Linked DNA regions of Nothobranchius furzeri. The protein of the gene in region 1 interacts with the protein of each later gene in a pairwise test. Links are inferred from orthologs where the notes say so. Each region holds a gene or a part of one and is shown in the gene's direction. Other genes may lie near its edges. The genes, in order: naif1 and sox14.

Region 1 (3,417 bases):
GATCTGAGCTCTGGTCTGGTTCTGGTGCTTTTATCTGTCCAGGTGTTTTGTTCTGAATCATGTTTTTGTTCTAAAGCTCTTCCAGACGCTGCAGGAACCGTCTGCAACGACAACAAACCACTGACAGGTCAGTGTACCACCAGAACCTTGTTTGGTCTTTAGTTTACTGAGGAAGACACAAAGTTCTGGAGCAGCCGAGTAGAGGTAGACTGGTTTTTTGTTACCGATGCGTTAGACGTTGTTTACCTACTTTGATGCTAACGTGACATTAGCAGCAGCTGAACTCTGAAGTGTGATTTTAACGCCGGGCACAAAATTAAAATGTAACTAAAGTTGATTAAATTAATCACTTAACTGATCAAGTATCCAATATTCAACACTGGCTAATAAAAAATACATTTTTTGTTGAAAGTAAGTATTTATTATACAGATGTTATTCAGAAACATTCATATACATTAAATTTCTATTAAGTATTTATAGTTCCAAGTCAGGACCAGCGTCGTCTCTAGGACCTTCACACAGTAAACACTCCAACACAGGTCAGGTCATTAAGCCAGTCAATAACAAGTTTCCTATATAAGGAACCCAGCAGGTTGCATCGAGTCACTGACTAGTGTCCAAGTCTTTACAGCAATCATACTTAGCAAGCATGCAGCGACAGTGGAGAGGAAAAGTCCCTTTTAACAGGAAGAAACCTCCAGAGGATCCTGGCTCAGTATAAGCAGCACACACACAGTTTACATTGTGATTTCTTAGTAAATATTCTATTTGGTGAGAGATAAACTTTATTGTATTTATTCTAGTGAATCTATAATTAAACGGGTAAACTAGTAGTAGCACATTCTATGTCAAAGAGAGTAAAAAGTTATCAGGAGAGGGAGAATGTTTAAGTGGTTAGCAGCAGTGTGCTAGCCGATGGCCCCCTCCATGAGGCCACCACAGCTCAGCAGAACATCATTGTAGCTTCTTCTGGGGAGAAAAACACTTAGAGAAAAAATAAAGTTAACAGCTGAAATAGCAGGAAATAATACAGTTAAAGAGCAGATTGTAGAAGAAAGTAGTCGAGTGTGGAAAGTGGTCAGTGTGTCCTCCAGCAGTCTAAGCCTATAGCAGCATAACTACAGAGATAACTCTGGATAACCTAGCCTTTTAGATGGAGGCATGTTGGAGGCAGGGCAAGGGAGAGCCGTCTTTACCGACTGTACACTCCACCTCCCTCTACTCCCCCACTTGCCCAGATCTGGGCTAACATCAGATTTTAACCATAGGCCCTCAAATAAAAATGTTTTGAGCCTATTCTTAAAAGTAGACAAGGTGTCTGCCTCACGGACTGAAGCTGGGAGCTGGTTCTACAGGAGAGGAGCCTAACAGCTAAAAGATCTGCCTCCCATCCTATTTAAAAATTACTTCGTACAGCAGCCCAAGCATGTGCCTAATTTTTAAACAGGTAAAGTGACGGTAAGGAGGTAAATCGTCCCGATATATCGGTCTACCCCTGTGGTAGAGTTGAAAAAACTTTCACATACAATTATTTAAGAAAAATGAACGGTGAAATAAATCTAGTCAATAGAAACCTGTCTTCTCTGTCTGACCTGCCCTGTCTACAGCTGAAACCACCTTCCACACCCTGGAGGACGGAGGTGTGGTGGAGTACTGCACAACCAGCATGGGTGACCCCACCCCCACCGTGGTGACTGCTGTTGAAACTCCGATGGAAATGCTGGCCTCGTCCTCGTCCTCCCCGCCTCTGGTGCCGTCTCAGGTCAAACCCCAGGAGCTGAAGAGCCGGATCGCCCTGAACTCTGCCCGCCTGCTGCAGGAGCAGAGAGTCACCAACGTGCACGTGCGACAGATCGCCCAGCACCTGGAGGGTCAGAACGAGCTGCTGCAGATGATGCGGCGCTGTCAGGAGGTACAGGCGCTGGCCCAGGAACGCCAGGCCCAGGCTCTAGAGGGGACCCAGGCCGCTTTGCTCGCTTTGGTTCAGATGCTCAGACCGGCTCTGAAGGACCTGAGAAAGTTTCTGCAGAGTGGGTCAGAGGTGACAAACCCCAATGGTCCAGGATCAGGAGCAGTTGCTGATGGAGCTAGTACCGAGGAGCAGATACGACCCAAAACACCTTCACAGCAAACGGAGGAGACCCAGTGAGCCAGGTCTGTACACAAGACACTACAGGACCTGAACTCGAAGTCTTGAAGTTCTTATTCATGATGGTTCTGACAGACTGTTCAATACATTGTCATCATGACCGGAACATTAAGGTTCGCCCAGGAGAGACCGGGTCCAGAATCCATCAGGTCTCTGAATCAAGTCTGGGTCTAATCTGGTCTCAGGCTCTGATAGGGTCTCAGGGTCAGGTTTGAGTCTGATCGAGTCTCAGGTTCAGGTCTGGGTTCTGATCAGGTGTACGGGTCTGATCAGGTCTCTTGGTCAGGTCCAGGTCTGATCGGGATTCTTGGTCACATCGGGTCTCTTGGTCAGGTCTCTGTGTCTGATCGGGTCTCTGGATTCTGATCAGGTGTACAGTTCTGATCGGGTCTTTTGGTCAGGTCTGGGTCTGATCGGGTCTCTCGGTCAGGTCCGGGTCTGCTGTTCCACCAGCGGGGGTGCTGTGTGACCAGCTGATTTGAGAATCCTCTGATGGTCACCTGATACAGCAGACCGATAATGCGATCTTTTCTTTTCTCCTTCCTGTTTAGAGGCTGTTTTCTACTCGTTTGATTAAGCTTCAGCTTCACATCAACGATAAACCTGCTGTCGTTAAACTGCTTTTTAATAAAAGGAATTCATGAATCTGATGTTCTGGACTAAATGAATCATTCAGACTTCCTGAGGTTATAAAGATAAGATGCTGCAACCCCAGCAGTCCTGTCTCTAGTGTATTTACTATCCTGTGTTGACATTGTGTTTATGTATTTCAGAGACCTTTTAACACCTTCTCTTCCACTTCTTCATGCAGTTTCCACCTCTAAACCGCGATTTCTAGAACTTCCTACCACTAATAAAAAGTTAGCCATCTTCTCTGGTGTACAAACGAGGTGGGACTCGATTATAAAATAATCTAATTAGAGGCTTTGTAATTAATCTTGATTAATCACCCATTGACCCTTGAACACGATTTACCCTCAAGCAGTTCTTTTAATTAAAACTAGTGTTAGTGAGGCCCAGGTGATGGACGTCTGACTGAATGATGACATCCTTTAGAGAGTATATCTGTGTAAGATTACTTTGGTCTCATTACAAAGGTAACTACTGTGGGATTTGTTGGGATGTGTGGATATTATAGGCGTTACTGCTGACGTGTAAATGCACATGGAACATTTAGACTGTTGTGTTCAGAGCTGAACACTAGGTGGCAGCAGAGCACTGCTAACACAAAGCAGCTGAAGACACCTGTTCAGGCTTTGGTGGGACC
Region 2 (4,569 bases), on another chromosome or scaffold:
AAGTCGGAGCTGGTGTGGGTATAGCCCAAACGCCACATGTCAAATTGCATTCGCTGTTCTGAGAAAGATAGCATAACGCAATTTAAAACATCAAGGCAACCTGCAGAGCAAAGCATGCAGGTCGCAGATCACGTGGTGCTGCTGAAGGCGAGGAGGTATTTTCGTTAGTTATTATTTTTATTTACAACTAGCAAAAACGTATAGCGTGCATTGAAAAGGGATGTCCTCAGCTGATTGTTCTGTAACTTGGGATGATTTTTATTTAACAATAAGGACGTTTTCGAGGTTTTGTAAAAACAGATATGATGGAAATCTTGTTAGTGGCCTCCGACTGGCGCATGCGCATGTGAGCTAATGGGAGAGAGAGAGAGAGAGAGAGAGAGAGAGAGAGAGAGAGAGAGAGAGAGAGAGAGAGAGAGAGATGTGGAGGTCGTGAGAAACGTGAAGCGGATGCCACAGGTAACAGCGCTAGCCCCGCCCCCAACAGGTCCACAAAACTCAGAATTCAGTTTCAATCAGAACTAATGATGTTGTGTTAAAATGTCACTCTAATGAGGTTCACATGTCAGAAATATGAAAAGTAACGTTGGCACCCAAAAGAAAATGAACTAGTTTTTTTAAACAATAATTTTAAACTAAATTAACATTTATTTTTCTATTCAGCCAAACTAATATGCTTGATTTTTAGTATTCAAATCCTATAAAAGTGACGAAACCCGTCAACCCGGCATGGTGTTTGGGGGCAAACAAATTACAAAAGTTTGTTAAGAATCATCAAAAACAAATAACAAATATGTCAGAATTACGCAAACTCACTGTTTGCATTTATCTTATAAAAGAGACATATTTCATGTTGAAATGGCATCAAAGGGTTTGATAAAAAAACGAACTGTAAAGAAAAGTGTGTAAACATAAGAAATAATGAAAATGTCTGACAAATATTTTATATTTGTCCGATGTCTCAGATGAATCATCAACATTCTTTAAACGTGAAATGGACTGTGTGGAGACGTGCACGCCAGAGTAAACATGAACTAAAGATGACACAAACCAACTCCATCCACACTGTGTGTGTGCGTGTGTGTGGGGGGGGGGGGGGGGGGGAGGAGGAGGGGGGGAGGGGGGGTCCTAATCGGTCTGCCTTTAGTTTAATAATCACAGGTGACTGAATCATACATCACGCGTCTTAGCCTGCGGGCTGTTACTGGTCCCAGTAAGGGGGATCCTCCGCACCATCAGATGGATGGGACCCATGGTTTGGTGTTCCCCATCGAGATACGTGCACAGCACGTGCGGGCCTGAAGAGACAGCGCGCTGTGCGTATGTGCGCACTCTCGGGCTTTTCTATTCAAGCCTCCATTGTTATTTACTTTTTATGGCTAGAACTCTGAGATTTGTCAAAGATGTGCCAAAAAAAACACCAAACAAAACAAAACGATGTTTGATGTGTGACATTTTCTTTAAATTACATGTTTTATTTTGTTTATTGATGTTTTTTAAAGGTTTTCTGGTTTTCTTTATCATCACATCTATTATTAATATTATTTTAGTAAACGCACAACAAAAATAAAAAGTGTAAAAGGTATATTTTATTGTAATTATTTTTAACGGGCTTCATCTCGTAAAAGTTTTAATAACGAGTTGTTAAGTAAATCCTTAAGCCAGGCTGAAGTCTGGTTTGGAGGTTAACTCCGTGTTCAGTCAGGTAAATGACATTAAAAGGGATCAAGAGGGATTCTGTTACACTCTCACACACACCCACACACTCCTGTTCTCGTTTTCTTTTCCTTTCTTTTCTTTTTTGTGCGGTCTTTGTTTATGTTGTAATGTACATAGCCTGTAGTTTCCCCCGGAGGGGCTCTAATAGCCGGTCTCCGTGCTGATTGGGCGCGCAGGTTGGCGAGTGAACGCCCTGCAGATTATGTCAGATTGCGTGCAGAAACCAAACCAGCCCAGCCTTTGAACTTCACCGCTTTTGGCTCGTATTCACTCTCTTACCGCTCATTTCCAAACCAGGTGCTTGAGAACAAACCTCACAGAGAGAGAAAGTCACCTAAAGAGTCACAATAAAAATTATACGTATTTCAAAAGCTGGACACTTTCTGGCTCCTGCCATCTGAACGCGGAACGCTGCTTTCACCTTTGTGGATTTTTCTTCACGTGTTTTTCGTTTCATCCACGCCGCCGGTCTGATTCAGAGTTGGAAGCGGACCTCAGCGAGCGCATCTGTCTTTTTTCCTCGGGAAGAACCGAGCCGGGTGCTGGATTTTTCTCCGTTTTTTGCTGTTTTTCAGACGCATCCAGACGTGGCATGACCGCTCTCTGTCATTTAGACAGGTGAACGACTTCCCTTCCTTCCTTCCTTCCTTCTCATCGCAACTTTTGCTTGTCACTGACATTGGGAGGGGGATAAAAGTGCAGATTAAACATGTCGAAGCCTGCTGATCACATCAAGAGACCCATGAACGCCTTCATGGTCTGGTCCCGGGGCCAGAGGAGGAAAATGGCTCAGGAGAATCCCAAAATGCACAACTCGGAGATCAGCAAACGGCTGGGCGCCGAGTGGAAGCTGCTGTCCGAGTCTGAGAAGAGACCCTACATCGACGAGGCCAAGAGGCTGCGGGCGCAGCACATGAAGGAGCACCCCGACTACAAGTACCGACCCAGGCGCAAACCCAAAAACCTGCTGAAGAAGGACCGCTACGTTTTCCCTCTGCCTTACCTCGGGGACACCGACCACCTGAAGGGACTGCCGGTCTCGGCCGCGGACTCTCTGCTGGGCTCATCGGAGAAAGCCCGGGCGTTCCTGCCGCCGACGTCCGCCCCGTACTCGTTCCTCGACCCGAGCCAGTTCAGCTCCAGCGCCATCCAGAAGATGACGGAGATGCCCCACACGTTGAGCACCAGCACTTTGCCGTACGCGTCCTCGCTGGGATACCAGAACGGTGCGTTCGGGACGCTTGGGTGCCCCAGCCAGCACACCCACACCCACCCGTCCCCCACGAACCCGGGCTACGTGGTCCCGTGTAACTGCACAGCCTGGTCGGCGTCCAGTTTACAGCCCCCGGTGGCCTACATACTTTTTCCAGGTATGACCAAGACTGGGATAGACCCTTATTCATCCGCACACGCTGCTGCCATGTAATCCCGAAGACTCGTTACTGTTTTTAATCCACTTGAAAACCGAAATGCATGTAAATATGATACCGGACGGCGCGCCTCGTTAACGGCATGAACAGTGTTAATCTGCCTCGGACTTAATCTGGCAGAAAAATCAACTAAGAGAGAGAAAGAGAAACTTTTCAGAAAAAAAAACTCAAGTTTTGGAGCTGGAGTTTGGTCTAGAAGACGAGGAGCAGAGAACTTTAAGAAATGTAAATGTTATAATGGCAACCAGAAAGGGAGGCCTTAAACTTTATTTATTATGTACATTTCAATGCTGATATGCTGATTTGTGTTGATTATTGGCTGCTGTTTTGTTTTGGAAAAAAAAAAGAAAGAAATTTGGCTGGCACATCCCTGTATAAGCCTGCTAACTAGTCCCCATTTTATCATGACCTGGGTCAAAATCCGGACTGATAGGCTGCTTTATATACGGGTTTTATTGTTTATATTTATCACAAATAAAAACAAAATGAAGCGGAAAACACACGTTTTATTTCAGTTCTCTGAGGGAAAAACGTCTAATTGGACTGTATTTTATGTGGTTCCGTCCCACGCACCGTTTCTTCATTTCTCAAAGCTTTTTTTATTTTATTTTATTTTTATTATTTTGTTCTTTTTAAGGATATGTTCTCTGTGTTTTCTCAGATTTAAACCTGTCATGTTCTGGAAAGGGTCATGTATCTAGAAGGTTGACACCTCCCGCTCTTTGTTCAAGTGCTGAGCAAAGACATTTTGAATAAAGACAATCTGTCTTGAACCAGATCAACTTCCTGTATGTGTTGAGTTCAGGTGTTTGAAGGTAAACCAACACTAAATTCTAATAGCATAATGATGATGGAAAGGCTGAATATTAATATTAAACCCAACCCTTGGGCCTGGCGGTGAAAGTCTCCTCTCAGATCATTTTAATCACCTCCTTCTTTCCATCTTTTATTTATTTTTTTTTTTTTTACTTAGTCCCTGTGATAATGAGTGGTGTTATTACCGAACCAGGGTTTCGGGCGTGTTGGGCGCTGCAGCGTGCTGAAGGTGTTTTCGTGACACCGGGATGAACCGGTTTTTGATGTTTGACAGCTGTGAGGCCTCCCTGGAGGGATTCCGCCCGTCCGACTCGTCTGACTGCTTAATCACTTCTGGAAACTGCTTAATTATAGGTTGAACTAATGGAACAAACTCAATATGATGGGATTTTTTTTTCTCCAGCGCAACAACTTTTCGTCTGACGGGCGCTTTTAAGAGACAAATCCGTGCGCGCCTCCGTTTCCAGACAAAACGTTTGATGTTTTACACCTGCCTAAACAGGACGAGGAGGAATCGAACCGGCATCTCTGCGTTGATCCAACACGTTCATTTTCCGTTTTCCCCCCTTCTTTTGTTAAAAGGAGAATGATTTGCGTCGACCCG

What was found.
Region 2: the proteins of naif1 (region 1) and sox14 interact in binary tests that used the Homo sapiens proteins (3 or more experiments, as listed by UniProt). The two-hybrid records come from large-scale screens. The link is inferred for Nothobranchius furzeri from reciprocal best matches to the Homo sapiens genes NAIF1 and SOX14.

The regions. Positions count from the first base shown.
Region 1 is NC_091746.1:70,818,725-70,822,141, reverse strand, and holds the end of naif1 (nuclear apoptosis-inducing factor 1), read left to right. Parts: intron 1-76; coding exon 77-127; intron 128-1,608; coding exon 1,609-2,150; 3' UTR 2,151-2,155; intron 2,156-2,701; 3' UTR 2,702-2,800; downstream 2,801-3,417. UniProt on the Homo sapiens protein: Induces apoptosis.
Region 2 is NC_091756.1:59,713,710-59,718,278, reverse strand, and holds sox14 (transcription factor Sox-14), read left to right. Parts: upstream 1-1,793; 5' UTR 1,794-2,428; coding exon 2,429-3,145; 3' UTR 3,146-4,045; downstream 4,046-4,569. UniProt on the Homo sapiens protein: Acts as a negative regulator of transcription.